Pelodiscus sinensis: one gene and its partners. The protein of the gene in region 1 purifies or fractionates together with the protein of each later gene. This does not show direct contact. Links are inferred from orthologs where the notes say so. Each region holds a gene or a part of one and is shown in the gene's direction. Other genes may lie near its edges.

Region 1 (10,258 bases):
CGCGTGATTCTGCGCCGCTGCTCTGGAGTCAAAGAGGCGCAGTATAGCAATTGTGTCAATGATTTCCCTAGGAATTAAACTTACGGGTGCGGGAGGAAAGGGGGGGTGTCAGACCCGGTGAAGGGTGGGGCTGTGTGATAAATGCAAAGTAGTGCCCACTGGAAAATACAATTTCAACTACACCTGGAAATTGTTGGGTCTAACCGTTGTTATTACTCAATAAGATGTTGGTGTCATTGTAGATCAGTGGTCACCAGACTCTGTCAGGTGATCTTGACTGGTTTGGCCAAGAGGCTATCAAATGCCAGCACTTCAGCTGCACTCCCTCCACTGCTACTCATCTCCTGCCCTTTGTCTTGGACCTGCCCCCCCCCCCGAGTCTCCTGCTTTCTGGGTAGGGAAAGAAGGGGTGCTGTTATCAAGATGCCCCCTCCCATTCTGTATCCTTTCTTCACAAAGAGAGATACAACAGGACTTGGAATGGAGTTTGCTGGCTGCTTTTGGGAGTGGTGCAGGGTCAGGGCAGGTGTGACTCTGCCTTAGCCACACTGCACCACCACCCAGGAGCCACCTGTGGTATGCAGTGCCCAGCTGGAGCCCACATCCTGAAACCCTACCCCCGTCATGACCCCCCCATGGACCCCAAGTCCTTGCCCTAGCCCCAACCACCCCTGTATCCCAACTGCCTGCCCCAAGAGCAGCTCAGAACCCCTCTCACTCTCCAGTCCCGTTAATCCAAGACCAGAGCCTGCACCCTAACCCTCTGCCCCAGCCTCATCAAAGTGAGTGAGGATGGGCAAGAGAGGGAGGTTGGAGGTAGCAGGGGCGGGGCCTTGGAGAAGGGACAAGGGTATTTATATATGAGGTAGATCTTGGATTGCACTTAAATTCAAAAAGTGATCTCGTGCATAAAAAGGATGGAGACCACTGTTGTAGATAGTTCTCTGAAAATATCCACTCAATGTGCAGCAGCAGTCAAAGCTAATGGGATGTTAAGTACCATTAAGAAAGGGATAGAACAGAAAATATCAAAAAGCTGCTATATAAATCCTTAGTATGCACACTTCTTGAATATTGTGTGCAGCCTGGTAAAAGATATAGATAAGGGCTACTAAAATGATTGGGTGTTCAAAACATTAAAATGACTGGGACTTTTCAGCTGGGAAAAAAGGACAACTAAGGGTATATAATAGAGGTCTATAAAACATTGACTGGTATGAAGAAGAAAGTGAATAAAAAAGTGTTATTTAATCCTTAACATAAGACAAGAATTAGGGGGTCATATAATTATATTAATAAGCCTCAGGTTTAAAAAAAAACAAAAGGAAGTCTTTCTTCAGACAATATACAATCAACCTGTGGAACTCTTTGCCAGGGGATGCTGTGAAGGCGAAAACTATAACAGGGTTAAAAAAGGACTATTAGCCAGGGATGCAACACCATGCTCTGAGTATCTCCAGCATCTGTCCGAAGCTGGGACCGGATGAATGACTTGAGCATTGCTGCTCTGTTCATTCCCTTTTCCCTCTTGGACACCTGGTCTAGGCCACTGTTACAAGACAATATACTAGTCTGGATGGACTATTGGTCTGACCCAGTATAGTCATTCTTATGTAAAAATAATTATAATAATATACGTGTTTAGTACAGAAACTTCACGAGATAATGACCTCTCAAGATAGCAACACTGTGAGATAATAGCCATGGCAAATAATGCATTTTAAAATTCTTGGCCTACTAGGAAGTATTTATTTTTATAAATTCTTCCAGTCACAAATCTAGCATTATGGAGCAAACTCACTGAAACACAGTCCAATAAAGAAACGATCCTTTAACTTCTCCCCCCCACCCCCCACTATACCTCCACATTGTTGTCCTCGGTCAGTGGAGACTCAGCTTTCAGAGCTGCTTTCATGTGAATTCACCTCCCAGAAAGAGGTTACAGCATGACAATCCCACATATTGTAAGGGTATGGTTTCGTATTAGTGACTTTCATGCAACTCCAGGTCTAGGTCAGACACTATCTCAATGTGGGCAGGTAAAATGATGTCTTGTCTATCTTTTAGCAGCACAAACTCATCCCAGGGATCAGGGTTCTAACAGCTGGTTTTTTCCCCTCCCTCGGTTTGCTATATTATCATTAATAAAAGGCATTGCAATCATGGCAAGTATCACCCTCAAAAACACCAGCAGAGAACCATATAAGGCTAAAGCAGAAAGAAATCTGTAATAGTCAAGGCACAAAGAACTCCATGTTACTAATTCAAATTTGATGGTGATACTGCCCTTTAGGTACAAACACTTGATACTGGAGTAAGCACTTCTCTTGCTGTTATTTCAATCTATTTAATTGAATATTATTTTGCCAGTTTTAAAATATGTGGTCTGTATTCTTTTGTGAAATAATTGGTGGAATTGGTTAATTAGCAAAAAAACAGATGATATTTTCCCTCCCCAATCTTGCTATGAATTCTGCATAAATCCCACTGAAGCTATGATTGTGGTATTAGAGCCAAAATTAGTTTGCCAGAGTTATTTTTAAGCGACTTCCCCCCTCTCTTCTTAGAGTTACAGTACTTGGAAAAAATATCAGCTGCCTGGTAGCCAGCAACCCACCCAGTTCCCCAGTTGAGGGGATTCTTAGTAGGGTTCTTTCTGGATTTATTTTCTGGGTGTCCAGCTTGAAACACTGGGGTCAGATGTGCGAACTATCACCAGAGCAACTGACATTCAAGGCAGTTGTGCTTTGAACATATGAAGTATTCAAGTCTCAGTATTCTGAAAAAAAAAGGCAAGCACTAAGCATCTAGTCAGGTTCAGATGCGAGATTATGAGTGTTTGAACAACAGCCTTCTCAAGCAGCAAAGGTTGAACAGTCCAGATCTTAGAAATATTATGTTGATTAAAGTGGCACGATTTTGAAATGATCAGGTTATATCAAACCTCATAAATTCATATTTTCAAGATAAGGCTATGATGTGCATAGGCTGAATCCCGTTGAAGTCAACAGTCTACATGCAGGTGCAAGATACAGTTGCATGGATCCAGCTGCAGCATGTAGGCCTAAGCCACTAGCCAGATATATTTTTGATGTCACTACAAATTTTTTTATAACTACTTTTCTTCTCTTTTACTTATTTAATTAAGACAAGAGAGCCAACACACTGTTGTAACAAGTAGGGATGTAAGCGACTAGTCAACTAGTTGCTTCCTTCCTCCCCCCCCTCCTCCCCCCCGCAGCCTTTATTAGAGACAGCAACGGGGGCAGCAGGAGCCAGTGCTGGAGGGAGCCGGCTTAAAAGTATAGCCCTACTTATAGTATAGCAAAGAACCCAGTTGTCCCCCTCTAAAAACATGAAGCAGGGTGTGGGTGGAGGAAATTGACCAAATTTAAAATCTCTTCATAGTTTCTGATATAATACATTTTTTAAATGACTATGATTTTTGTCACTCCAGAGCAAGGAACATAAAAAAAAATCTGAAAATAATCCTGGTTAATCTCCTACACACACTCCTTAAGGGGTGATATCATACGTTTTATTTTTAACGTTGACAGGGAGGAATTGTGTAATATCTTCCAAAAGAAGTGTAAGATGCTCCAGGATTTCAGTCAAATAAAATTTGATTAGACAAGCACTTGAGAATATAGTCTAGAGAGCAATCCTACAATGGCAGGAGGATAGACCAGATAATCTACAAGATATCATACATCTCTAATTATGTGATTTTCAGAAAAAAGTAGCAGTTCTGTGCAGCCTGCTAATTGAAATAATATAAACATGATTTTAATGTAATGAGATATGATTTGTCTGTATTATATGTTGATTGCTTTTATGGGTCACAAAGAGTTCAATTAGCAAGATTCCAACTGCTCCTAATTTTAAATACGTTATTTATCATGTTTCCACTTGGTTAATTTCAAATTATCTCAGTCTATTACATTTCAGTAGCTTTGAAACATCCCTGCCTTTGCCCCTCCCCCCCAAAAAACCCCTCTCAGGCTACATCTACACTTCATGCTTCTTGCGCAAGAAGCCTTTTGCACAAGAGTTTTTGCACAAAACCTTTTTGCGCAAGAGCACGTCCACACCTCAACGCACATCGCAAAAGTACATCGAAAGAGAGCGTTCACACTGAATGGATGCTCTTGCACAAGAAAGCTCTGATGGCCATTCATAGTTGGCTTGGGCCTTTGGTTCACAGAATGGATATCAGAGCACCTGTGCTTTTTCCCTCTGGAGCATCCACACTTGCCTTCTTGCACAATAGCTGTAGCGTTAAAAGCAGTTATGCCTCAGAAAAAGAGGTTTACCTACAGTGGAAAAAGCCCTTTGTTCTGCCATTTAACTGCCCATTTAATAGCGCAAGAGTTCATTTGAAGTGTGGACGCTCTGCAGGTTTTTGCACAAAAACAACTGTTTTTGCGCAAAAACTTTGTAGTGTAGACTTAGCCTCAGCCTGTAAGGAACTTAAGACCTGAACCTGAGTGCCTTTGTTACTGAACCTGAGTGCCTTTGTTACTGCAAAGGCTATTCTGTTTAGTAAGTCTTTGGAGAACTGGACTCTGAAGGCCTGCTCTTGGTCACATTGCATTGTTTTTTACATCATTTGAAGTTGGATTGGGCCTTTGGTGCACTTAAAGATGAGCACACTACTATAAAGCTGTATTGCTGTTATTTTATGAATTCATTATAGCACTTTAACATTAAGATGAGGTTGCATAAAATGTAATTCAGTAGAAACTGACCTCTCCTTATTTTATCATCCTGCTAACCAATACATTTTCTAGTGTTCTTCATTTCAAGTTTTCCCCCGTACTGTATCCCGATTTGTCCCAAAGTACGTTGAGAGGAATGTGTTAGGTCACAGGTAGAATGTCCACCTGTCCTTCATTTTGTACTGAATATTCCCTATTATTACATATATCTATAATTATTGGCTCATATACACCAATAATCATGCAAAAGGACTGTACACTGTAATACAATGTGTTATTTGTATATCGGTATGTGTCACACAGGGCCAGCTCGAGCCATTCCTGCGTCCCGGGCAGCAGGCACGCAGCGCCCGATTGCAGCTGTAAGGGGTGCCGCGTGGCACCTGGTCCCGGGCATGCGGCACCTGATAGGTTGGCACCCCGGGCAGCTGCCCAGCTAGCACCCCCCTCCCCGTTAATCCGGCCCTGGTGTCACAAATAAAACACGGGGCAGGTGCCCTTCAAGACAAACCTTCTCCCATAATTTCCAAGTTGTCCTTTATTTGCGACATAAAGGGTCTGTATATGGGCGTGAGAAAAATGATCACAGCCAGGGACCTGATCTTCTATCTCAGGAACATCGGCCGCACGTATTCCCTGTTGCCAAACCCCTTTTGTACTGCCCCCTCACCCCCATCATCCAATGCAGGCACCAGACCAGATGACCCATTTTCTGCAGACTCCCGGTCTCATCAGTGCGAAATGACAGGCTCCGCAGCGACAGCTGGCTAGGGGCGCGGCTCCTGACGTGCGCGTGCGCACTACAAATCCGAGCGGGCCCCAGGGCAGGATGTCCCTCCTTTCCCAGCAACAACGGTCCGGCTTGGCACTGCAACAGCTCCGGGTATACAGTGCGGTCAGAGAAGACTACATGTCCCAACATGCAATGCGCCCTCCCAGCGGATTCCCTGAGCGTTTTCGCCAAAAGGCCAAGCCGGACTACAATACCCGGCATGCCATGCGGCCAGAGACTTGCTGCATTTTGGGAGATGGAGTCTCCGCACCCAGCCGGTGCGCTAACCACACCTCCCATTGTCGCCTTGGCTGCCTGCCTCTCGCGACGGCATGTCAACAATAACCGCCCGCTAGGGGCGGTGGCTGCGCTTCCCCGTATTCAGAAAGGGCCTCTGCGCACTCTCCCCGCGGCCCGGCTCGCCGGGGCTGGCTAAAAGGGGCGTAGCCGCCGCCATGGCCGGTTGTTGTCAGTGGCTGGCAGCGGGTTATGGCGACGGCGGTGAATGAATTCTCCGGGCGGCAGAGGGAAGAAGAAGGGCTCAGCCGGCTCCAGCTCCCCGCCGCAGGCTCCCGGGGTCTCCCCTTCCTCCCCGGCCGGGCCGGCTCCCCCCCTGCAGCAGCAGCAGCAGCAGGCGGCGGCGGGGGCGGCCGCGGCGTCTCCCCATAAGCGGAACCTCTATTACTTCTCCTACCCGCTCTTCGCTGCCTTCGCGCTGCTGCGCTTCGTCGCCTTCCAGCTCGGGCTGCTCTTCGCCTGGCTCTGCGAGCGCCTCTCCCGGGGCGCCCTCATGGCCGCCAAGGGCAGGGCCGGGGCCGGCGACGCGCCCGAGCCCGGCGGGGCGCCCGAGACCGTGCGAGCCTGTCACAAGCGGGCCTTCGAGTGCATCTCCGTGGCGCTGCGCATCGACGAGGACGAGAGAGGTGGGGGCGCGAGCGGGAGCCAGGGCGGGTGGGGAGCGAGGCCTGAGTGGATCGGGGGGGGGGGGGGGGGCCGTTACTGGTGGCGATTCCCTTGAATGGGGGGGGGGGAGGAAGGTCCTAGCCCTATATCCGGGTGTTATGCGCCCCCTCATCCTTGGTCCCAGCTGTGCCCTGTCTGTGTTGCACATTAGTTTAGCATCCGTGAGGCGCCTCTGCCTAGAGAAGGTGCTGCTGACAGCTGATGGCTCAGATGGGCTCAGGGTTTAGGTCACCCTTAATTTTCTTTAGGATCAGTGCCAGTCCTCAGATCCTACTAGTGAGCCAGCAGGCACCCCCGCCCCCTTTGGCAAAGCTCTTGGGGTGGGTGGAAGTGTCCATGTTTTCACCCCCATGCATCTCCCAGCCCCATCTGCCACATGTTCCCCGCCCCCACACCAACAGGCATAGTGGGACTAGAGCTGATTCTGGCTGCCAGCTCTGACCTATGTGCGGAGCTGTCCTGCTCATAGGACAGTTCAAAACGGTTGCTCTAAGCTTTGGGGCACCCTGCAGTGGTTCCCTCCCTCCCCGGCAACTGTCCTATGGGTAGTGTGGTCACCCACACTCAGGTTAGCCTGTGGGGCTGTGGGCTGGCTGTGGCTGGCAGCAGGGGCTGAGCATGCCCATACTCACCCCAACAGCAGGAACCATAGGGAAGCAAAGCTGTGCAGCAGCCTGCTCCACTCTGCTGCCATCTCCCAAGCCAGCCCTCCCTTGGCTAGGGCACTCTGCTTCCTGCCACCACGGTGAAGCTGCGGGACTGGGCTGGCCTAAGAGATGGCATTGGAGCAGAGAAGCGGCTGCTGCATCACTCCACTTACCTACAGCTCTTACCATGGTGGTGAGTGAATGTGTGTGTGTGTGTGGGGGGGGGGAAGGTGGGGTCAATGATCCTTGCTGCCTCTTCTTGCTAGGGCCCCCAGGTTACATCCTGCTTCTTGCTAGGCCCCTCAAGGCTACATCCCTTGCAGGAAGCGGCTTGAGGGAAGGGCTGTAATGGGAGGGCAGTGGATGGAACAGGAGCTGGACTTGGGGGAAGGGTATGAACACCCATCCCTCCAGGACCTCACGGATGCAAATGCCACACTAGGCACGTTACAAAACGTATTAGAGTTAAAGCTTAAACATGAAGTCTTGACCAGTGGTACTAGGATTTCAGCCTAGGTGTGTAGCGAAAGGTCTAATTTAATTATTTTTTAAAGATAGTGATACGTCATAGCTATGTAAAATAGATGTGGCAAAACTACATTTAAATTCAGTGCTTGATAGGAGATTGAACCTCATGTTTAGGTGTGAAGGGATAGCTTTAGTATACACAATTTTAGCCTTCACTCCACTTTATGCCTCTTCTTCACACATTTTTTTGTTTTCAGTGTTAGCACTACAACAGTTGAAGGATGCAGTAAGGTTATCTAGTTTCTAAAAGATGTGCACAAATACAAGGTGTTTTTTCCCCAAAAAAATAAGTCTTTGAAATTGTCTTCTGAAAATTGTTTATTTTGAATTTAATTCATAGACCTTGATTAAGGAGGGGAAACTCATGTTCATATTCAGAACTAAGTTGTTGCATCATTAATTATTTAGGCATGAATAATAAGGAACAGTGATTTATTTTGGGGTCTAGCATAAGATTTATAGCATACTCTTATTTTGTAAATTATTTGTGTGATATGTATTCTGTCTTATATGTATATAAGACAATATTTAGCAATTAAACTCATAACATTGTATTTTCCTCTAAAATTAAGTCTTATAATTATTTTACTTTTGCTTAGATACTTAAACAACTCTGAAACAACTAATTCAGAATAAAATAAGAAGTTGAGGAAAATTTTGTTTGAGATTTAAAAATGAGAACAAACAAAAGCTGTTGCCAGTGTATTTGACTGACAACAGTGGTTCTCAACCTCTTTACCACTCTGGGATGCATTCATTGCTACCTGTAAGTCCCTGAAGATGTCACATGGGCTGCACAGCTCTGTGTTGATGGGCCTCAGGTTGAAAATCACTGACTTCAGTATCCGTCTACTTGCAGCAGTACAGTCTTGGCAGTGTTCAAGGAGGAGAGTCATGGGTACTTTGATGGGCTTTACATTTTCATGGAAACATTCAGCATGATTTTAAAGTGTGAAGACTTAATGAAACTATGAATCTGCATAGCAGCAGGAAGTAAAAATTGTTTTCTTCTTTAAAATCAAAATAGAGACTGTATACAGACTGTAAGTTTAGTATATTATGAAAGGGTCAGACTTGGTTAGCTCTGCAGCAATAACTTGGGAGACTTGTAAATCCGCGCTTCATTTGAATGTTTGATCAGCTTCATTTACATTCCTCTTTCCCCTACCTTGTGGTCACACCCACTCCTGCACCCATTTCATCATTGTGGGTGGTTGGCTGGTGGTCCATGGAAAGGTTTGCGTTGAGCAGGTTTGGCCATGGGCCAAAATTTTTGAACCACTGCTGTATGTAAATGGAAGATTAGGAAAGATGTTAGGGAGAAAATGTATGGAAACAAGCAAAAGTGATTCAGACTTGTAGCAGGTATCACACAAAATTATGAACTCAGTGGTGGTGGGGTTCTTTTTGGTTTTGTGTGTGTGTGTTTGACATTGATCAGCTGTGAAGTCTATTTAGAAATGTTTATGAAGCAATATTTGCCCAATTGTGTAATTTTACTCACCTGTGTAATTGTGCATAGCACTTGTTTTGCATATCTTGCAGAAAAATTCCTTTTCATTATAATCTACTACAGAAAGTAAGTGGCCCATTTCCATTTTAAGCAGGGCAAAAGGAACAAGCTGTTGAATGGTATAAGAAGGGAATTGAAGAACTGGAGAAAGGAATAGCTGTCTTGGTTATTGGTCAAGGTAAGCTGATTTTGTGTATGTGTAAAGTTATACCTTTTTTATGACTATCACTTCCTGGCATTTTTTTTCACCCCAGGCCTATACTGCAGGGAAAGGTTGGCTTAAGATATGCAATTCCAGCCAAGTAAATAATGTAGTTGGAGTTGACCTATCTTAAGACAGACTTTGGTGCCATTCCTACACTGAGAGATTGACAGTAGACATGCTCTTGTTGACTTCTCTTATTCCTCGCAACAGCGAGGAGCACTGCAGTCGATAGTGGTGCTTTCAGCTTTTGATTTAGCGGGTCTTTACTAGACCCACTAAATCGAACAGCAGAAGATCCACCGCCGCAGTGTTGGTCTTCCAGCAAGTCTAGATGTGGCCAGGAAAGTGGGAGAGTTACGCACCATATTTCATTCTTCAGGTAAGTGGTTGGTTTGTAGAGTATTGTGGAGAAGCACATGCAGAATGTTTTTAATGCAGCAGACATTCTCTCCAGATAACTACTTACCTCCATTTACTTTCTCCATATTATGATAAGCATATAATGTATAAAAAGCCTGCTACTCTGGCTTTAAATTGATATGTTGTATATAATCTGAAGAAATATTTCTAAGAAGTCAGAGTTCCAATGTGTTGGTTTTTTTTAGGGGTTTTTTTTTTTTTGGCTCACTGATTTTATTTTTTTTATTTTTATTTTTTATAATTTAAATTCGCTCATTTCTGCAGTAACTTCTTGAGGGGAAAATAGTAAGCATAGTCCTGTATCTTAAAATAGTGAAACAGATCATAGTTACCAATATAGTACTAGCCTTCTCTATCAACATTTGGCAGAGCTGTGTCAACTTTTAAGAGCTTAGACAAGCTTTTAAACTAGGAGAGCTCTGTTGTAAGGAAGTTGCCATAGTGTTTGTAACACTATTACTGATGTTTTGAAATGTGGACGGACACTGTTTT
Region 2 (10,060 bases), about 28 Mb from region 1:
GCCTCGTGATTTTAGCTGCTGCTCACGTATTCACTGCACGGGAGGATGTGTGAGGCCTGCATAGGGAGAGGCTGGGACAGGCAGTCGGGGTTAGGGGGGAGCAGCGGGTACAACCCCACTCTTCACTCCAGCAAAGACTGGAGTGTTTGACATTTGGGGCTTTGTTCAGGCCAATCTGTTATACAGGCAAGGGCAGAGATGTGAAGTTTGAACCTAATGCCAGGCTCCTCCAGAATGTGCAGAAGTGCTGTGGTTCTGGGGCTGGCCCATAGTTATTAAATGGACTGTGACAGCGAAGGTGGAGTTTACAGCTTTTTCTGTGACTTCCATCCTGGCAGTAGATGAGTGACAAACATGATCATTTTCTGCAGTGTCCTTGAAAAAACCGGATAAAACTAAGTCTCGGTGGAGTCCAAGAATGCAAAAGTTATATATGCTTGTAGGTCAGTATTATATGTACCATGCCTAGGGGGCAAATGTGTACCTTGGGACATTATTGATTGCTGTGTAATTACTATGATTATATAGCAGGAACTGGCAAGATATGGCCTGCAGGCTGGATAAAACCACAAAACCTTTTAATGTGGCCTGTGGCCCACCCCGTGATACGGAACACCTCTGCTCAATGCAGCTGATTGCTCCCTCTGGCTCTCTGCACTGCAGGAGTAGGAAAGGGAGAAGGAGGCTTCTCATGTTGCCTCTGCCTCCAGCAACATTTCTCTGCTCCGATTGGCTGGAAACTGATTTGCTGGGGGGCAGCACATGAAGCTTCCCTCTGCAGCGCATAGAGCCACATGGAGCTTTGAGTGGTCAGGGGCTGTATCCCTGCCTGAAAGTGCTGCTGGCTGGGAGCTGCATAGGCACCCCACCTCCATCCACGTTCCAATTCCCTCCCGGATTCTGCACCCTTTCCTACACTTGTCCTTCAGGCCAGAATCCTGCACCAGGTCACCAAATGCTCTACACCCTCCTGTCTCTCACCCCAGGTTACAATTCCTTCCCAGAACCTGCACCCTCTCCTACGCCCTTCCCTAGCCAGAAACCTGACCTGCATCCATACCCCCTCCCAGATCCTGCACCCCAATCCCTTGCCCCAGGTCACAACCCCCTCCTCCCAAATTCCCTCTCAGACCCCAGACCTTTTACATCCCAGTCTCCTGCCCCAAGTTTCCTTCTGCACTCAATTTCCATCCCAGAACCGCACCCCCTCTATAGAAAAGTGCAACCCTTGATTACTTACTAAAATTTTGAAGTGGCCTCCCCATCAAAAATTATTGCCCACCCTTGCTGTACAGCTAATCTGTGTCATTCTATTGATTGTAATGAGTCAGTGTTTTGAGGACAGTTAAATACATGACAGAGTACAGGCAGTCCCCGGTTACGTACAAGATAGGGACTGTAGGTTTGTTCTTAAGTTGAATCTGTATGTAAGTCGGAACTGGCGTCCAGATTCAGCCGCTGCTGAAACTGACTGCCAGTTCTGACTTACATACAGAATCAACTTAAGAACCGCAAGCGTCCCCAAGTCCGCTGCCAGCTTCCCCGAGGCTTTGCATAGCCGCGGGGCGGGGGGGCTCGGCCAGCAGGGCATCCCAGGCGTGCCTGGGCTGCCCCGCTGCCCGAGCCCCTCCGCGGCTTTGCTCTGCGTCTTCCTGGTCTGCAGACCAGGGAGACGCAGAGAAAGCCCCAGAGTACACGGGCGGCAGGACCGCAAGGTCCCGCAGTCCGTGTACTCGGGGCAGCCTCGTTCGTAACTGCGGATCCGACGTAAGTCGGGGACTGCCTGTATCTCATTGCTAGACTACTTGGTCCACTTGTCACTGACCTTTAAAGATTCTATGGCTGCATGCTAGCTTAGATATCAGTACTTGAAAGACTTCACATGGCATTGCTATCTTGTCTGCACAACAACTGAGGCAGGTGCATTCGGGACATCTTAAAGTGCACACACATACAATGGGCCTCAAGGAATAGGCTCTCCCTTTACATAACATAGATGTCACTAACACAGACCTCTAAGCAAGTACAGTGAAAGCTTTGTTATCCAGCACATGTGGAGAATGCGGGTTGCCAGTGTGAATATGCCGGATAACAAAATGTATCACCCTGCCCCACTGACACATCTAGCTCCTGACAGCTTGAGGCAGGCTGAGAGGGAAGGAGGCACCTGCTGATGATGTCAGTTGGCAGCGCAGGTTGTCAGAAGCCCTGCAACGGCTGGCTGGACAGGCAGGAGTCAGGTGCACGTGCCTGAAGTGGTATTGTTGCTGGGGGCAGTTAAAGTTTTCCAGTTAGCATAGTGCCAGATAACACATTTTTCATTGTAATTCAATTGTAAATTATGTATTAGAGTAACCAGTATTACTTGTCAATAGAAAGTTTAGTGTTTATATATGATTAAAAAAAACTAAGGAAATTTTCAGAAAAGAACTTTAAGGCTGTTTTGTAGTGATACCACAAGGGGGAAAATATGTAAAAGAAAACAAATTAAGGTTTCAACAGAAGTTAATTTAATCTCGTCTGGGACATCAGACATTCAAATACCATCATAACTATATGATTATTGCATGCTGTCATTACAGGGCCGAGTAAAGGTTGGTTGGGTGCCTACATTGCATTTTTGTATTTTAACATGTTTGGGTTTCTCTGAATTTCAAGAGTTTATAATGCTTGTTTTTGTGATTATTACAGGTCTTCTAATTTTTTTTCTTCTCTTAAGTTACCAATGCATGTTCCCAGCCTTTACTGCATCTTAACGTACTTTTTGTCTGAGAATTTATACTGGTTTGACATTTAATTAAGGCTTATAGCCCTTGTTCCAAGCAGTTAAATTCGCCCCCAAAATGACAACAGACTCCCTAAATTGGGAACTGGGAAAGTGACAACGGTGAACTGTGGAGTGGAAATGTGGGGGCTATGAGAGTGATTGCATCTAGCAACATATCAACTCATTCCTTTAAGATATTTAATTTAGATAACATTAGGGAGTATAGTTTAAAACTCCATCCAACCCTAGGGCAACATAGGATTTCTGCTTTTAAATGGCCTACAAAAATCTACATTAAATTAACTGCAAAATTAGGAAATACCAAATTAACATTAGACTGAGCTATGAGTCAGGGCTATGGATATGCTACAGACCTAACAGTGGTGCAGCTGCACCAAACTAAAGGTTCTAAAAATAGATTTAATCATTAAAGGAAAAAGAAAGAAGAGAAATACAAGTGATTAGAAGATCAATATACAGACAAGTGACTTCCAAAGTTCATCATTCAGGATCAGAGCAGTGATGGAATGAACTGCTAGCTTGCAAAATAGTATCTACAAGCTAATTTGTTTATATTGTTAAACTTCTGACAAGATATACATGTAAATACAGATGAATGCCCTACCTTTGATTTCTGTTACTATAAATAAATGAATTGATTATTGCTAGTCGAATACATCTATTTGACACTAGTGTCTTCTGTTAAGTTCTTACGGGTCGTAAACAGACTGACTGGTCTGTCAGTGTCACAAAATAAAGTATAATTCAAGGCAGAGTGGCCTGTTAACTGCTCTGCAGTTATAGGACAAAAAGAGGGGAGTACATGTTGTTGACATATCTCCACTGCTACAGTGACCAATACCTACCACCTCACCTTGGAACCCATACCTGGTATCTTCAGACAATTACAACCCATACTCAATGGGGGACCTCCATCCTAAAAGCTATATTTCCAGAACTTCCACTCCTGGCCTTCAAACAACTTCCCAACCTTTCTGAGATCATCATAAAAAATAAGCTCCCCCTACACTAGGACACACCAACTTAAAATCAATAAGAAGTCCGGTGGCATCTTAAAGATTAACAGATTTATTTGGGCAGAGTGTTTTTGCCCATAAAAGCTTATGCCCAAATAAATCTGTTTGTCTTTAAAGTGCCACAGGATTTCTCATTGTTTTTGTAAATATCAGCTCAAAGTGGCACCAGAGCCTGCCAGAATTACAGCTGCAAAACCTAGACACATATCTCTACTACTACAGTGATCAACTTTCCACACAACACATCTTTCAAGATATAGGGATCCTACATATGCCTATTACAACATACGATATACCTCATCCAGTGAATGAACTATGTGACTCAAAACATACAAACATTATGCTCTCAAACTCACACAGGAAAATGATAAAATACAAAAATGCCTTATCACCTCTGGTTGAACACTTCAGTGATCGCTCTATTTCTGACCTCTCAATTCTCATCCTCAAAGGACACCTGGCCCTTTTAAATTTCTGGGCTCTAGGGTAGTAATAGAAATGTAGCCATATTAGTCTGGTGTAGCTGAAGCAAAATACAGGACTATGTAGCACTTTAAAGACCATCTTGTTAGTCTTTAAAGTGCTACATAGTCCTGTATTTTGCTTGGGCTCTAGGGTAGTTGCTTTTTTTTGCTCCCACCATCTCATCTCCCCCCTCCCTACTATGTCAGTAATAGACCTAAAAGCATCAATGTCAGCTAAGTACAAATCCCAACAGGTGGTTACTTTCTTAGTAGTATACGGTACTAGTCCACTTTCACCTGTGGTATTAATGGCTAATCTGCAGGTCCAGAGTTGGCATGCTACACCGTAAATGTGGTCAGCAGGATCCTGTTTGAGATTTTTGTGAAGCTCTGTTAGGCTGTGTCTACATTGGCATGATCTTGCAGAAATACTCTTTAATGCAAGAGTTCTTGCGTTAAAAGCATTTGTGCAAGAGAGCGTCTACACTGGCATGTGCCTTTGCGCAAGAGATGTGCTTTTGCGCAAAAGCATCCGTGCCAGCGTAGACGCTCTCTTGTTCAAGAAAGCTCTGATGGCCATTTTAACCATAGGGCTTTCTTGCGCAAGAAATTCATGTTGCCTGTCTACACGGGCCTCTTGCGCAAGAACAGTTGCACAAGAGGGCTTATTCCTGAGCAAGAGCATCATAGTTCTTGCACAAGAAGCACTGAGTTCACACATTAGAACTCAGTGTTCTAGCACAAGAACTCCCCACCAGTGTGGACAGGCAGCATGTATTTATGCAAAAGTGTGTGCTTTGGTGCAAGATCATGCCACTGTAGACACAGCCTTAGGGTTTGGAGGAACCATATGGGTTAAATGCAAAATGACCTATGAGCACGAAGCTGGCCTAGGAAACAGGCAGGCGTACAGTGCAGTCCCCGCCCCAGGCAAGGTTCCATTTACTCCCGTCATGTCCCGCCCACCTCTGAGCGTAGTTGCTGCCACAGAGATTTGTACCTCCTCTCTTGCCGTCTGCCGGGAGGCTTCAGCCAATCGGGGAGAGCTTGGGCGGAAGAGGCGGGGTGACGGCAGCGGGAGCCTATCGGGGCTGCGGACGAAGTTTGTGCTTCTCGGTGGCGCTTGTCCCTTTCGTTGCCGCCGCCAGCATGGAGGATTTTTCCGCCAAATTCGTGTCCCAGAAGATCAGTAAGACGCGCTGGCGGCCGGTGCCCGCTGCCGCCCTGCAGCCCCCCGAGCTCTTCGCTACCGGCTCCTGGGACAACGAGGTACCGGCCCGTGGAGCCTCTAAATCCGCCCCCGCGCTGCTGTCGCGCCCCTGCCCGTGGGCTCGAGCCGTTATTAGAGCGCGTCTCGCTCCGCGCTGCCAGGGGCTCCCGGGTGGGCCGCTGCTCAGCGTTTGTGGGGGGCGGCGCGTTTGTAACAAGTGTCATCAGCGGGGGGTGCCGGGCGAGGCCGCGTTTGCCCCTTGCTGCGCCTCGTGTTGCAGCGGTGCCCCGGACCCCTCTTCTCTGAGCGGTGCCCGGAGCCGCCTCCCTCCTCCCTGCCACGGGGTTGGCGTGGTTTTCTGTATTTTCATATCCTACCGGTGGTACACGGGCTTTCAGCTTTCTCAGTTAAATAAGCTGAGCGCTATGTAGCTAATTGTGTGAGATCTTAACAGCTAAGCTCCTAGTTTCTCATCGTGAAGGCTGAAGCTCCTTGCTGCACAGTCTCTGTGTGTGTTTCGTTTGCCTGGCTTAATGACCAAAATTTCCTCCTCTTCCGTGTGTGGTGTGGACTGGCTCTCTCCTCCTTGGAACTGGCTGCATTTGGTGATGTAGATTTTATTAATGCTTAGCATTTTTCGAGATTAATATGCTGTGTAAATACACACCAAATATGGAATATTAATTTTCTTGTATATTTAATCTATCTCTATCAAAATGTAATAGTTTGTTAGTCTCTTTAGGAAGAGAGAAAATTGAGTTGACTTATTGTTTCTATTGTAGCTGTAGCTTTGTTGGTCTCAGGCTATTAGACATGAATGAAGTAATATATTTTATTGGACCAGCTTTTCTTTCTGACAATATTTTTGTAGCACAACATTCTACCTCTGCCATCTTGTCTCAACTGACTTTTATGGCAAGTGTGTCTTAAAATAAGCTTGTTTCACTACTCTTGTCATACAGGAAAACAAGATCTCAATTTGGTCTGTTGGAGACTTTGGAAATGTGGGCACCAGTGGGGAGTATCAAGGAGAACCACAGTTGCTGTGCGATATCAGACACCATGGTGATGTTATGGACATGCAGGTAAAATAGTTATATCCAGTAGCTGTTTTTTTTTTTTCCTTTCACTTTGTTAGAAAATGTATCAGTAGGATATCAGAATATTGAGAATCAACTAATGTCTGCTAGGGGGATATTGTCTAAATACAAAAAAATTATGTTTGGAAATTTATATGTACATTCTGAAATTATCTAGCAACCAGTAAGACTCACAGATTCACATAGTAATGCTTCTGTGATAATGTGCTCAAACTGTGTAACAAGCTTAAGATATTTCTCTTTAGTTTTTTGACCAGGAGAGAATTGTAGTTGCTTCATCAACAGGAAGTGTAACAATTTTCCGTCACCATCAAAATAATCAGGTAAATAATTTGTTGTGGACATAACTTTCTCTTGGTTTCAGTTACTGTTGCTTCTAGTACAAGTTTTTTTGGGGCTCTCAAATGCATGACTTTTCAGAACTATCAAAACATAACGCAGCTGAACTCAATTAGGGATATAAGTGACTAGTCAACTACCCGATATACATAAGCTTATCAGATAGTCAAGTAGTCACTCGACTAGTTGCTTCTCCCCCCTCCTAAAGCCAGATGGCCCCAGCACTGTCTCCACGGAGTAGCAGGGGAGGCAGAGGCATCCCTACTGTTGCATGCCTCTCTGAAATGTACAAGAGCCACTTGCGGCTCTTCTACATTTAAAGGGAGAGGCGCAGCGGGATTGCAAGTGCCCCCTGTTATCGACTAATTGAGCAGTTGATGGGAACTCCATCAGCTACTTGATTAGTTGATTAATCAACATTTAATATCTCTAAACTCAATAAGTTCTAAATTCAGTAAATCAGGAATTAGGTTATTTTTTAAAAAATGTGTAGAATAGTCTGATATAGGGATGTAACTGTATAATTGTTTACATGGTTAACTGATAGGCCTGGACTATCGATTACCATTAATGATTACACGCAGACTCCTGCCTTGCTCCCGGGGAGCTAGCTGTCACTCCACACTGATGGCTCTGTATCAACAGTTACACAATTACCCAGTTACCCCTTTTTAACACTGTGAGATAATGTTCCTGTCTATTGGTCACACTGACTCTTAAGAATAGAGCACTGAAAGATCACTGTGTCTGTCCATGGATATTCACATCTGCTGATAGAAATGTCTATCTGCACAGGACTCTATGCATTGGTGATTAAAAAGGAAAGCTATCCTCTGATCTGTAATGATGTGAATGACTCTTGAAATAATGCAGTGTGCTTTGTTTATTTCAGAACTAGTTTCTGATCTAACTTCTTTACATATTTCAAAAGCTTTGGTTTCTAACGCTGTTGCAGGATTGTTAATTAGCACTGTTGATACAGTCTCTTTATTTACTGCTTAGACTTTATCTATTAATCAACGATGGGAGAGGGCTCATTATCATGTGGATCCGGATATCCCTTTCTGTGGTGGAGCTTCATGTACAGGGGTCATCTGCAACAATCCAGAAATTGTCACTGTTGGAGAAGATGGTCGAATAAATCTTTTCAGAGCTGACCACAAGGAGGCTGTGAGAACTATAGGTAAGGCTAATAACCACTTTTTAACAAATGGGGTCTAAAGAATTTATCTGTACTCACAAAATGACCAACAAAAAAAGAAATAGCTAGTAACTTCAGAATTGTTCTGAATGTCTCAATAGAATCTGTAATGAGCAATACACTGGATCTAGAATATTTGCTATTTTACACTGCATTTAATCAATGCAAAAAATTCAGGCTTAGAACTACCTGCACGCATGCTTTTTTCCCAGCTTCTGCAGTCTTGCATTATTTGTCAGTTCTTTAAAATATATTTAAAAATATTTCCTTTTGAAACATAATTATCAAGATCTTGACCATAAGTGGTCAGTATGAACCCATTCTTCTTTCAGAGATGGTTTTTCTTTGTTCTGGACAAATTCCAATTTTTGTAATTTTGTTTTGTTAGCTTCTGGTATTACATTGGTCCTTCAGTTCTCTTGCAATTTTTTTGTGGTTCTGCGGTTTTCTCTGTTTGTGGGACACCCTTATTTGTACAGAAGAAACAATCCTCATAAGAGGTGAAATATATGAAGTAAACTGAAAAATATTTTTTCTCTAATTTTTCTGTAATAATAATACTGGATCAGTCCCTCACTTAAATATCTAACAGATTTTCAGATACATGTGTGTAGGAAGAGGTTAGGTAACTTTTCTTTACTTCTCAGGCAATGTTCCTTCTAATGTTTTATGGTCCGTGTACGGAATGCATTTTGTGTTCTCCAATACAGAAATGATGTGTGACACAACATGTCCATATTGGTGCATATAAATTCCGTGCACATTCTGCCTACTTAATAATCTTACTGTTAAAAAGCAGCTGCAATATAGGATTATTTACCATTCCATTCCTAATCGGGGGAGGGTGGAGGATTTTCTGTTTAGCTGATATGTTCAACATATGCTAAGCAGTCAGAGTGCTATACTCTCTCTCTCTCTCTCTCTCTCTCGCTCTCTCTCAAAAAACAAAAACAAAAGCTTTTCCTGCCACATGACAGGATGATGTCATCAGGCTCTCTGGCCATGAAAGTGGGGGATTGGCGAGCATAGCAAGCGGGGTTTTCATGACCAGAGAGCAAGGAGTTGGTGAGCTGAGTAAGCAGGGAGCATCCCCTAGTGTGACAATATTTGTATTAAAATCTACTGCACAACAGGGGATCTTAAAAAAAATATTTCCCTGGCCTTTTTAATGAAGGGACAGAATATGTGTTAAAAAGAAAAGATGTGCTAGGAAGGATTTTCTTTAAAGGAAATTTGTGCGTATGAGCTAGTCTGTGAAACTTGTCTTAAGTGACACTCTGTGAACCAGCATCATATGCTTCTTTGGTATGGACAAAGGAGATGTGGATGTGGGGAAGTGAGAGGATATTTTGGAATGGTCTCAAGATGGGGTTCTTTATAGAAAAAGGCCTTCAATGTGTATTTCGCTTTGAAATTTCACTAAATAATATGGACTAGAAGTTGAGCTTATTAAAACTGTAATTGGGCAACTGAGCTAACTGCTATTATAAGTTAATTATAAATAAGGACATTGAATTTTACGTAGCATTTTGCTCAAGTAGGTATTGCATCTCTACTTCTGATTAAATAGACTACGAAGTTACTATCTTCAAAAGCAAAGCTAGAAGGGGAAGTCCATGTAAATACTTGAGACCAATATTCAGTAATGCTAAAAAGGTGCAAGCGTTCTAAATTCTTCTAGTAGTTCAGTATTTGCTGAAGTTTTAATGGAATTGGGTTTTCCTGGGTTTGTGCAGTATGCATAATGTCATCTAGTTCACTTTTTTTAAAGAACATTCTTTCTATTTTCAGTTGAACACATAAGCAGAAAAATACAAATATTTCTTGGATTTTTGTTTAATCTTATCGAGCTTACCTGAACCAAATAGCTATCGTGTTTAAGTACTCATTTAAATGAAGGTGTTCTTAAGTATGAATTACCAAGCACTATGCAAAAGCATCT
Region 3 (9,829 bases), about 11 Mb from region 1:
TATTTTTTTTTAAATTGGCATATGAACAGTAAGTGCTGTTTCTCTCAAGAACTGGATTCTCGATTACTATAAATCAGCAGAGCTCTATTGGCTTCAAATTATGCTAAGGAAGATTTGTCTGTTTTGAAGCAAAAGTAAGCCTATTAATAGCCAGTGGGCCAGATCCACAACTTGTGTAAATATGTCCCTTATTGGGAATCTGGCTCAAGAACCGTTAAACTTATCCCTTAAAACAAGAAGCTAATCCCCTTGTGAGGGTGAATAAGCAATTCCTTATATGCTATACCTTCATGCTGTACAATTGGCCAGGTGCCATACCTCTCAGTGTGCCACGGCTCAAATATAAGATGCAGTGTGTAATCCAACCAAAGCAACGAACATAAGAATGCAACTTGGTTTTGGAAGCTTAATGGCGTAGAAGCAAATATTGCAGCACATTTAACTCTATGAAAGCTGCTCTGTTTCATCATTTGTTTAATTCTGAGAGCATATGAAGGTTTTGGAAGACGGTGGAATGGGGGTGAGAAGGTCAGGGAGCATCCTGAATTTCCCCATGGCATGTGGAGTATGAAGAAGTGCTATTGTGTGCAGTGGGGTTGAAAGGTGCTACTTGGATATGGATGTGGAATTAGCAGGGTCCATCTCTGCCCTCCCTATTTGAGCATATGATGTGTATGTTCCTGATGCTGGGGAGCCTGTCAATGACATCATCATAAAAATAGGGGCCTCTGGTTTCCCCTTCGTGCTGCACCCTGGTGGCTGCTCGGCATCAACCAAGTGACTTAGTTCCAAGCTTGTGGTCATGTTTGGTGGGGTAGCCTGTTTTGAGGTTATCCACGTGGTTCTTCACAGATGCTTGGGGTCTGTTGTTATAAGTATCTACCCATGGAGATGCAGCTTAAATGATCTCTTCATCTCTCCAAATCAATTTTAATCCTACTGGGTAGCTTCAATCCTATTACGTTTTTAAACACTATAAGTAGTAGCAGATTTTTCTAATGTGGGAGAATTATTAATATAATGGAAAAGATGGGAGAAAAAACAATAGCTTTGCTGATTTGCAACCTAATTTCTTTGAAGGTATGTTTGAAGAATACTAGCAATGATTTTGTGAAAAGTGTGACTGATGCAAACCAGCTGTTAGCAAGGTATACATTTTAAAAAGTGATATGAAAAAATGCCTTTAAAACCCTTTAATTTTCTCTCGTTAACTGAGTAACAGATTGTTAAAAATCCCCAGACAATTCAATTTTACTCTCCCTAGGGTAGATGTTGTGAGTGTACTTTCCCCAAATCTGTATTCTTCATACAAAGTAGTGTAGTTAAATGTCTGCTTTGAATGGAAAAGTTAAATGTCCTAATATGTACTGCATATCCATTTTTTCTATAACTTCGCTTTCCTTATTTCTAATGTCATCAAGATGAAGGGTGAGTAAAACAGCACATTGTTGTGCAACAGTTATCATCAGGCCAAAAATAAATAACATGCCCTCAGTAAAGGGTATTTTAGAAGTATGGCGTGTTTCACTGGATTATTAGTTTGCCTCCCTCTGAAACAGTAGCTTGTATCTTCGGAGGCTTTCTTAGCAAGTAGTCATGGGTGCCTAATTTTCACTGCAATGAACTGATTTAGTTATTTGTAATTTTCACTGAAATTAGTGTATTTAGTTACCGTTGTCTGCTGCTGCTATGTATGCCTTATAAACCATTACACTGATTTCCAAAGCAACTATTTTGATGCATCCTGGGAATTATCTAAAGGACTTGGGTGTTTTGGGGGAGGATTAGTTTGGGGAAAATCATATATGGAGCCCATGTAAGAAAAGGTGGATCATTCCTGTGGCAGATCTGATAAATGCCACGATTAGAGATGCAATACTGGATTGGATGAGGGACTATTTATGCCATTAAGCTCCAGAGGGGTAGCTGAGTTAGTCTGTAACAGGAAAAACTTAAAAAACAAGTAGTCTAGTAGCACCTTAAAGACTAACAAAACACGTAGATGGTATCATGAGATTTTGTGGGCACAACCCACTTCTTCAGAATGATTTGCCTAGCCACTCAGGTCAAATTTGATGTGTTGCAGGTTACCCTAGTTACGTGGGAGTGAGGGATAGGTACTTTTATTTGATTTGTCCCCCGCCCCCCCATTTATTTACAAGGAACATACAAAGGCCTATTTCCCCAAGGAAGACACAAGAGGCAGGGTTTTCTGTTTACTTTCCCAAGCCTCTTTAGTCAGCCTCCTTCCTAGGTTTTTCTCAGTCATGGATGCACCAGGCAATTGCCTGTTCTGCACAACCATCCCCTTAGTCAGTAATCCCTCAGTCTTGCTTCTTCCAACTGTTGGCAGCCTTGGTTAGATTTGTTCAGCAATAGGTGACCTGGGCTAGTAAGTGGGCTGCATGAGTGGTCCCAGTAGGCCGCAAGATAGTCATAGCAAAACTACACTATTTTGGGAGAACATTTTGGTTAACTGCCCGTATGTACCTAGAATTTGCAGGATGTGCTGACTGAACTGTAGCAGTGCTTTGATTGGATGCAGAGGGAGCGCACAAAGCACAATAGTAGATCTTTGCCCAGCAGTAAAAGCTACATTTGGATGACAGTATAACTGATTGAAAATGTACTGGAAAAAGCAAAGACTTCCGTTCACAAGTTGATTAATTAAGGCACTTCTATTGATTAAGAGGACAAGAAGTGTTTGTTAAGGCAGCTGCACAAATAAATGGATTTGATTCTTACAGATCTACAACTGCAATTTCTGGATTCTACTCAACCTCTATGTAGCTTTTATAGATGCCTGTCTTATAAAACAAACAGTCGAATGGAGTGAGGCACTACCAGCAATGGATTTGCTATGTGATAAGGACAGAATAGAGAATTTGAACACAGAATGAAATATCAAATGATGAATGAATGAAGGATTGATTCAATTTCTTCATCATAACTAAGGATTTGACACAATCTTTGTGGTATGTTTCCTGGATGAAGGAAGTAGGAATTCATCTTTTGTGCCTCTTGGTCACAACAGTTAGTGTTGAACACAGGCTCTAACTTCGTGGGTGCTCCAGACCCGGAAAAAAAATAGCAGGTTTAGTTTTGTGTTTGCTGTATCAAGTCCTGGAGTGTGTTTTCCGGTAGACATATGTACGTGCTTATTTTGATTAAGTTCCTTATAAGAACTTCATATTCTATCACTGCAGTCCTACAGGACAGTGAAAACAGCGTTTGCACCAGGTGCAATATATTTTGAAAGTTAAGTGGCTCAGTGGTTAAAAGTTGTATTAAATATGCCTGTGTTTTAAAATTGGAGTTCTGTTAAGCTTCATATCCAAAAAGCAAACATGACTTGCACAAGCCCCATTTCTGAGTATCTTTGGAGCATACCAAGTCCAAAACTTTTGAAACAAGCCTACTCACCAGAACTGTGTCCTTGAGTATCTGAAAGCATGACAGCCTGCAGCTCCCAATGAATGGAGACAGAGAAGGGTGTTCAGTGGAGAGCTTCTGTATTAGGACACTGGTCATTAGCCTGAATGACAGCTTAGCTTTCATAGTTTTGGAATAACATTTTTGCATTGTTGGGGTTTTGCTATTTTGAGAAGGAGCGCACTCCCATACACAGAATTCATCCAAGTTAGATAGGACAGACATACAATCAGGGTGGGTATATAGATAGGGTACTTACCTGAGTCCTTCATCAACATCATATTTGTGCTTGTGGTCCATTGGTCCGGTCAGACCTTTGGCATCTGGAAAAGGTAAAAACAATGCATCAGATCTCTCTTTCACCTGTATGAGTGTGTGTTTGTGTACTGTAGTTGTTCAGTATCTTTAATCCTCCCTTCCTTCCTACCCTACTCTTCCTACCTCCCGCCTCCAGTAAATAAACCGATAGTTGTAGTAACATCAGTGTGTGCTCCTTTTTCTTATTAGGTTAAGCTTTGAAAGATGAGCTTTCCAAAAAAAGTCTCTGAGAGAAAGACTGTTAACTCTTTGCAATCTTCTGAGGGACAAAGTCCTGAATTTGAGAACAAAAAGAAAATTTAAAAGTGTCAGCTCTGCCTAAGAATCTCAGGCTCTGTTTGACCTGCCTCTTTCTTTTTAAAGATAGAACTGATTAGGCTCCATAGGCTCTTCTCTTTTTAGGCATTACTTAGCCCATAATGTGCTAGGGCATAGCTTTGGCAAACACTGGCACTAATTAAGCACTGTGGGTGATCCCCTTGGTCAGGACAAACTAAGAACAGTTTCGCTGCCCGTTACTCAAATAAGAATAACATTTAATTACTCCCACATTCAAGCAAAATGCAGGACAATGTAGCACTTTAAAGACTAACAAGATGGTTTATTAGATGATGAGCTTTCGTGGGCCAGACCCACTTCCTCAGATCAAATAGTGGAAGAAAATAGTCACCACTATTCTTCCACTATTTGATCTGAGGAAGTGGGTCTGGCCCACGAAAGCTCATCATCTAATAAACCATCTTGTTAGTCTTTAAAGTGCTACATTGTCCTGCATTTTGCTTCAGCTACCGCAGACTAACACGGCTACATTTCTATCACTATCCCACATTCAAGTGATTTATAGCCAAGATTGATCACTTGGGCAACACAGGTCTGTCTGCTGGATACCTAGGCAGAGTAGGTATGTTTATGTCAACAAAGTCTGATCTGGAAGCCTTTCCCTCATGCGTCCCTGCTCATTACTGGCTGTCAGGGGAAAGCTCATTCCCACCTTATTTACAAATCGTATTTTGCAATTATTAGGTTGGCCAACATCACTGAAAGGAATCCACTGAAACTGGCATAAAACACAGCTGTATGTGCCTTCTTTCAATTTTAAGTAAATTTCCAACAAACTAAATGGGGAGCCCTGCATGTTACCAGTTGACCACTGGATGAATGATGGGGAAATTCAGGGAGTTGGGGGGGTAGGGAAATCTCTGTTTTTTTTTTCTTTTCACTGGGAATGAAAGGGGGATGGCCTGACACCAGGGCAGGTCCTAGCCCAAATGATGCTCCACGCAAGGAGTGTCTTCAGCCCCCCACCTTCATTTGTTAAACTTTTGAATAACTTATGTTTTATTGGCTTGGTAGCTTATTCCATAAGTTTGATGCATGATCATGTATGATGACAAAGGTGCACCAGAGGTTCTGTCCACATAGTTCTCAGAAAGTCTGCAAGGTTCCACGATTTTCTACAAAAGGTCCAAAACGCTCTTAGCGGTCAGTGAGAAATGAATCCAGGGAGGGAATACCTGAAACATGATACTTCCGACATCCTAGTCTCCCTTTTGCTGTTAAGAAAAGAAAAAAAGCCCCCGCCCAGCACCTGCCCCTAAAGCTGCCCTGCCTAACACCAAAGTTTAAGCCAAGCCCCAGAGTAAGACGCTGATGGACTGAGCTCGTGTGAGCGGACACACTCCAACGCCGCCCAGCCCGCTCCTTTCTGCTGAGACGGCCCCCGGCGCCGAGGGCTGTGCAGCAGGAGAGGGCGGCTGGGGCTGCCCCAGCCAGAGTTCCGCTCCCCGACATGTCACGTGGGCTCCCCCCGCGCTGCAGTCACCGCCACTGGCCCGCGTGGTGCAGAAGCCAGGCTGTGCCAGCCGCCCCCTGCCCCGCTCCGCTCAGGGGCTGGATCCTGCAGCGCGAGCCACCCCGCCGTTCCGGGCCCCCGCCTTCCTCCCTAGAGCAGGAGGCGCGCGCCTGCGTCCCAGCTGACCCCGCCCTGTCTCGGGGCCGGGAGTGTGACGTAGGCAGCTGCGACGCCCGGAGCGGAGCGTGCAGCTCCTGTACGTCAGCGGCGCGCGCGCGAGGCCTCGGCGGTTGATCGTTCAGGCGCTGCTGGGTTCGCGCCGCTTCCTCGCCCCCCCCCCCCCGCCGCCCACCATGTTCCCTGCCGCCCCCGGCTCCCCGCGCACCCCGGGCGGATCGGCCCGCAGGACCCTCGGGCCCGCCGCCGTCTCCATCCCCCGGCCGGGCGGCAGGAAGAGCCTGGTGCCGGCGGCCGCTTCCCCGGGGCTCTTCTCCCCGGCGGGGAGGCGGAGCGGCTCCCTCTCGGCGCGGTGAGTGCCCCGCGGGGCCTTAGCGCCCCACACCGCGCGGGGGGGGGGGTAAAGCGGAAACTGATGCGGGGGGCACTTAAAAACCGCCCCCCCCCGGCTCCGCGGAGTCACCCCTCCCCCGGCTGTTGGGGATGGATCAGTGTTATCGATTAACCCGTAAGCAAAAGCTTTCAGGTTAGTGCTACAGACCACACGACCCCCCCTCCCCCCCACACGACCCCCCCTCCCCCCCCAGTAAACTGTTTAGCAGCCTGGCCAGCAGCCCAGCACGCGCTGGTTCCCCTGCTGCGGCTCTGCCTTTAAAGTGCATTAGGAGCCAGGCGGGCAGCCTGGCTCGGTTCTGTCTTGTGCCGCATCCGTGAGCTCAGACCCCCCTGTTCCCGACGGGCTGCTGCCACGCTGAGCTGCTGCCTCTGTATCAGAGACAGCAGCATGGGGCAGCAGGCATCTGGTCCATGAGGGGAGCTGTTTATTAAACTGGCTTCCCTTGTGGACTAGCTCCCGCCTGGCACCCAGCACTGCTGCCTATGCTACAGAGGCAGCAGCACAGAGTGGCAGGCGGCTCCCTGGGAGAGGGGCTGGAGCACCCTGGCTGTTGGCCTTACCCCCGGGAGCTATAGAATAGTCAAGTAATCAATAAGAATTCATTCGGTTAATTGGCTATTCAGTTAACTGATATTTAACATCTTTACTCTGTATCCGAGTCAGCAGGCTGCAGGTGGGAACTGGTCTGCGTGGGGAGCCAATTTTTAGACCAACTCTACCTGCCACCTCACATCCCTGCCTCTGATACAGAGGCAGCAGCAATACAGGGTGTCGGGGTTAACCATTCACATCCCTAGTTCCAGCCCGTATCAACAAACTTCTTTTCTTTTTCCCAAAATTAGTTTTAAACTTCTAATAGCAGTAATAGCTGCACCTGGCATTGGTCAACTGCTCTCTTACCCAACAGGACAGATAATACTATCTTTATTATTATCTAAAAGGCTCACAAACAAAGGATTTTTGTCTTCTAAAACTTTTTCCAGCTAAAGAGAAAGGGAACAAATAACGTTGAAATGAAAATCTTGTTGAATGCATTACAGGCAGTCCCCGGGTTACATGGATCCGACTTACATCGGATCCCTACTTACAAACGGGGTGAGGCAACCCCACACTAGCAGCTTCCCCCCAGTAGACCAGGGAGACGCGAAGCTAGCACCCCCCCCCCCCGCCCCCCCAGCAGACCAGGGAGACGCGGAGCGGCTTTTCTCAGCAGACACCTCAGCTTGAGAATAAAGGACTGAGGGAAGTGAGGTGTGGGAGAATAAAACTGAGCTCTGGAGAAATGTTTCGCTAGAGTTTCCCCTACTATATATACCAGTTCCGACTTACATACAAATTCAACTTAAGAACAAACCTGCAGTCCCTATCTTGTACGTAACCCGGGGACTGCCTGTACATTTCAAATGTTTTAACTCTTTTCTTTCTTTTCTATGTCTTTAATAAAAAGTTGAAAAGACTTTGTGATGCATATTGTGGTACTAAACAGGCTGAAGTCACTGTATGCCAAACCCGAAACTTTGTTTTTAATATTTTATTGTTGGATTGTCACTGGTTTATGTTAACACCTTTGGCCCATTATTCCATTCAAATTAATATAAGAAGGGAAACCTCCTTTAGTGACTTGAATGTTAGCTCCTAAAGATATGCACTTGTGCCTGTTTTTCACAAACTTGGCCATTCAATCAAGTATCTTTTAAATAATTGAAAATGAAATAAGTATATCTTAAAATTGCAGGAGACATAATGGAAACAAATCAATCACAGTTTATGTGTATATTTTTTTTAGAGCAACACCCACAAGAGTATTACAACATCCTTCAGCCAGTGAAACTATCAACTATGACGTTAAGACTTTTGGATCCTCTCTCCCTGTTAAGGTTATGGAGGCCCTAAGAATGGCTGAAGGTAAGGAATGATTACATGGGAATTAGATCAGATAAAGGAAATACGGTAATCTCTTTATACTTTTAAATAGATATTTTTGAGCAAGGAGGAGGAGAAGAGAACACCTTTTTAATTGTATATAAGAAGTCTCTTGCTAGAGCATTTATAAGCTTCAAAACACGTAAGACTGTAATTGTTCATGATCAGAACAATTCAGTTATTTTCTTTCAAATGTCAGTCATCTGGATATCAATTCAGTACTGGACTTTTTGTGAAAAGCAAAACTATTTAATTATATTTGGAGAGTACTGTACAGACCAAGCACAACAAAAACAGTCAAAATTAAGGTTGCTGATCCATATATTCAGTTGTTTAAATATTGCCACTCACAGTTTTAGGTAAGCTTAAGAAAGAAATGTTTAGGCCACTGGTAACAGTCATTTACAAAGTCTTAAGTTAAAAAAGAACAACCATCCTTACTTTTTCCTTGTTTTGCACTTCATGTTTGATATCAATTGTGCTGAAAAGGTGCATTGCACAGGTCTGTATTTTTATATGTAATAGGAATGTATCCATTGATCCAGATTCTTTAATTTCAAAACAATCTACGATATATTTGAGAGCGTTTGTGCATGAGTCTGTCTCTCTATTTAAGAATTCTTCCTAAACGGTAAGAACTAGTCCAAATTTGTATGCAGCTTCCACTTATCATATCTTAAACCAAGGTAAGGGTTTGGTTGTTCCAGGGACACGGGCTGTACCCAGAATGGGATTGCTTCTCATAAAACCATATAGACAAGAGAGAATCACAAGGCAGGTGAAAGGGGCCAGCTAGGGATATGTTACCTCGTCCAAGACTGCCCCAGTTGTGTGCCTTTCCCCTCACCCCCAGACGCCCTTTAGGCAGGACTGGGGAGGGGGTTGAAGCTCCCACCCTCCTTTTCGTATGGGAACATTGCTGGCTGTTCCCTTTTGTCAAGAGAGGAAAATGCGCAGTTTGTTGCATTCTGCACTCTGGTTGGTAGCATGGGGCAGATGAACCCGTACCTGCCATAGCAGGGGTGGGGGGGACATGCATCTCTCCCTCTGCTATGCCCGCTGGAGCTGCAGCATCCATGGGGAGGCACTTCTCACCTGGCCCCAGTCTGCTGCAGTGAGAGGCGGCTTTGGGCTAGTCCTCTCTCCCCGAGGTAGCCTGCACACTGAACCCTTCATTCCCAGCCCTACCTCAGAGCAATGATTCAAGTGAGGGAAAAACAAAAATTACGTGTGTTAAGGACCTGAGCAGTGCCAGGTAAATCTTCTAGTAACAAATACAAGTGGCTTGTAAAATTCAAGACTTGCGAATTATGCTAATGAAAATTATTAGAATGAGATAAAATGGGTCTGTTTCAAGACTGTAATGCACAACTGTATGAAAAAGTCTTCCTTCAGAAACAAAACTGAACTAACATTAAAAAAATACTTTTCAATTATAAATAGCTGAATCTAGGAAAGATGAAGGAGCTGGATCCTTTATGGACAAAGTTAATGAGAGTCTTATTTTTGAAATTGACACCTACAGGTTAGATGGTTAGAAGAATATTAAAAATGCCTAATATGGTGTCTAAAAGAGAATTGTGTGTGTCAAATTCAAAGGACTGAGTAAAGAAATTAAGTTGTATATAGGTTTGCCTAGCTTTTTTATCTTTCATTTATTTTGTAAATATCTCAAACTTTAGGTGCTTTAATAGTTCTTTAGGAACACATAATCCAAACTGTTAAAACATAAATACATTGAAGACCTCTCGAGGTCCCTTCCAGTCCTAGTATTCTATGATTCTATGATA

Evidence for each region.
Region 2: the proteins of SPAST (region 1) and NUP43 purify together in Homo sapiens (affinity purification with mass spectrometry; 3 studies listed by BioGRID and IntAct, counting the BioPlex papers as one, with this or other methods). This does not show direct contact. The link is inferred for Pelodiscus sinensis from reciprocal best matches to the Homo sapiens genes SPAST and NUP43.
Region 3: the proteins of SPAST (region 1) and NUP133 purify together in Homo sapiens (affinity purification with mass spectrometry; 3 studies listed by BioGRID and IntAct, counting the BioPlex papers as one, with this or other methods). This does not show direct contact. The link is inferred for Pelodiscus sinensis from reciprocal best matches to the Homo sapiens genes SPAST and NUP133.

What each region holds. Positions count from the first base shown.
Region 1 is NC_134713.1:134,313,289-134,323,546, forward strand, and holds the start of SPAST (spastin), read left to right. Parts: upstream 1-5,663; 5' UTR 5,664-5,995; coding exon 5,996-6,413; intron 6,414-9,232; coding exon 9,233-9,319; intron 9,320-10,258. UniProt on the Homo sapiens protein: ATP-dependent microtubule severing protein that specifically recognizes and cuts microtubules that are polyglutamylated.
Region 2 is NC_134713.1:106,457,333-106,467,392, reverse strand, and holds the start of NUP43 (nucleoporin Nup43), read left to right. Parts: upstream 1-5,309; 5' UTR 5,310-5,417; coding exon 5,418-5,537; intron 5,538-6,440; coding exon 6,441-6,563; intron 6,564-6,823; coding exon 6,824-6,901; intron 6,902-7,919; coding exon 7,920-8,100; intron 8,101-10,060. UniProt on the Homo sapiens protein: Component of the Nup107-160 subcomplex of the nuclear pore complex (NPC). The Nup107-160 subcomplex is required for the assembly of a functional NPC.
Region 3 is NC_134713.1:123,319,326-123,329,154, forward strand, and holds the start of NUP133 (nuclear pore complex protein Nup133), read left to right. Parts: upstream 1-5,820; 5' UTR 5,821-5,895; coding exon 5,896-6,071; intron 6,072-7,902; coding exon 7,903-8,021; intron 8,022-9,829. UniProt on the Homo sapiens protein: Involved in poly(A)+ RNA transport. Involved in nephrogenesis.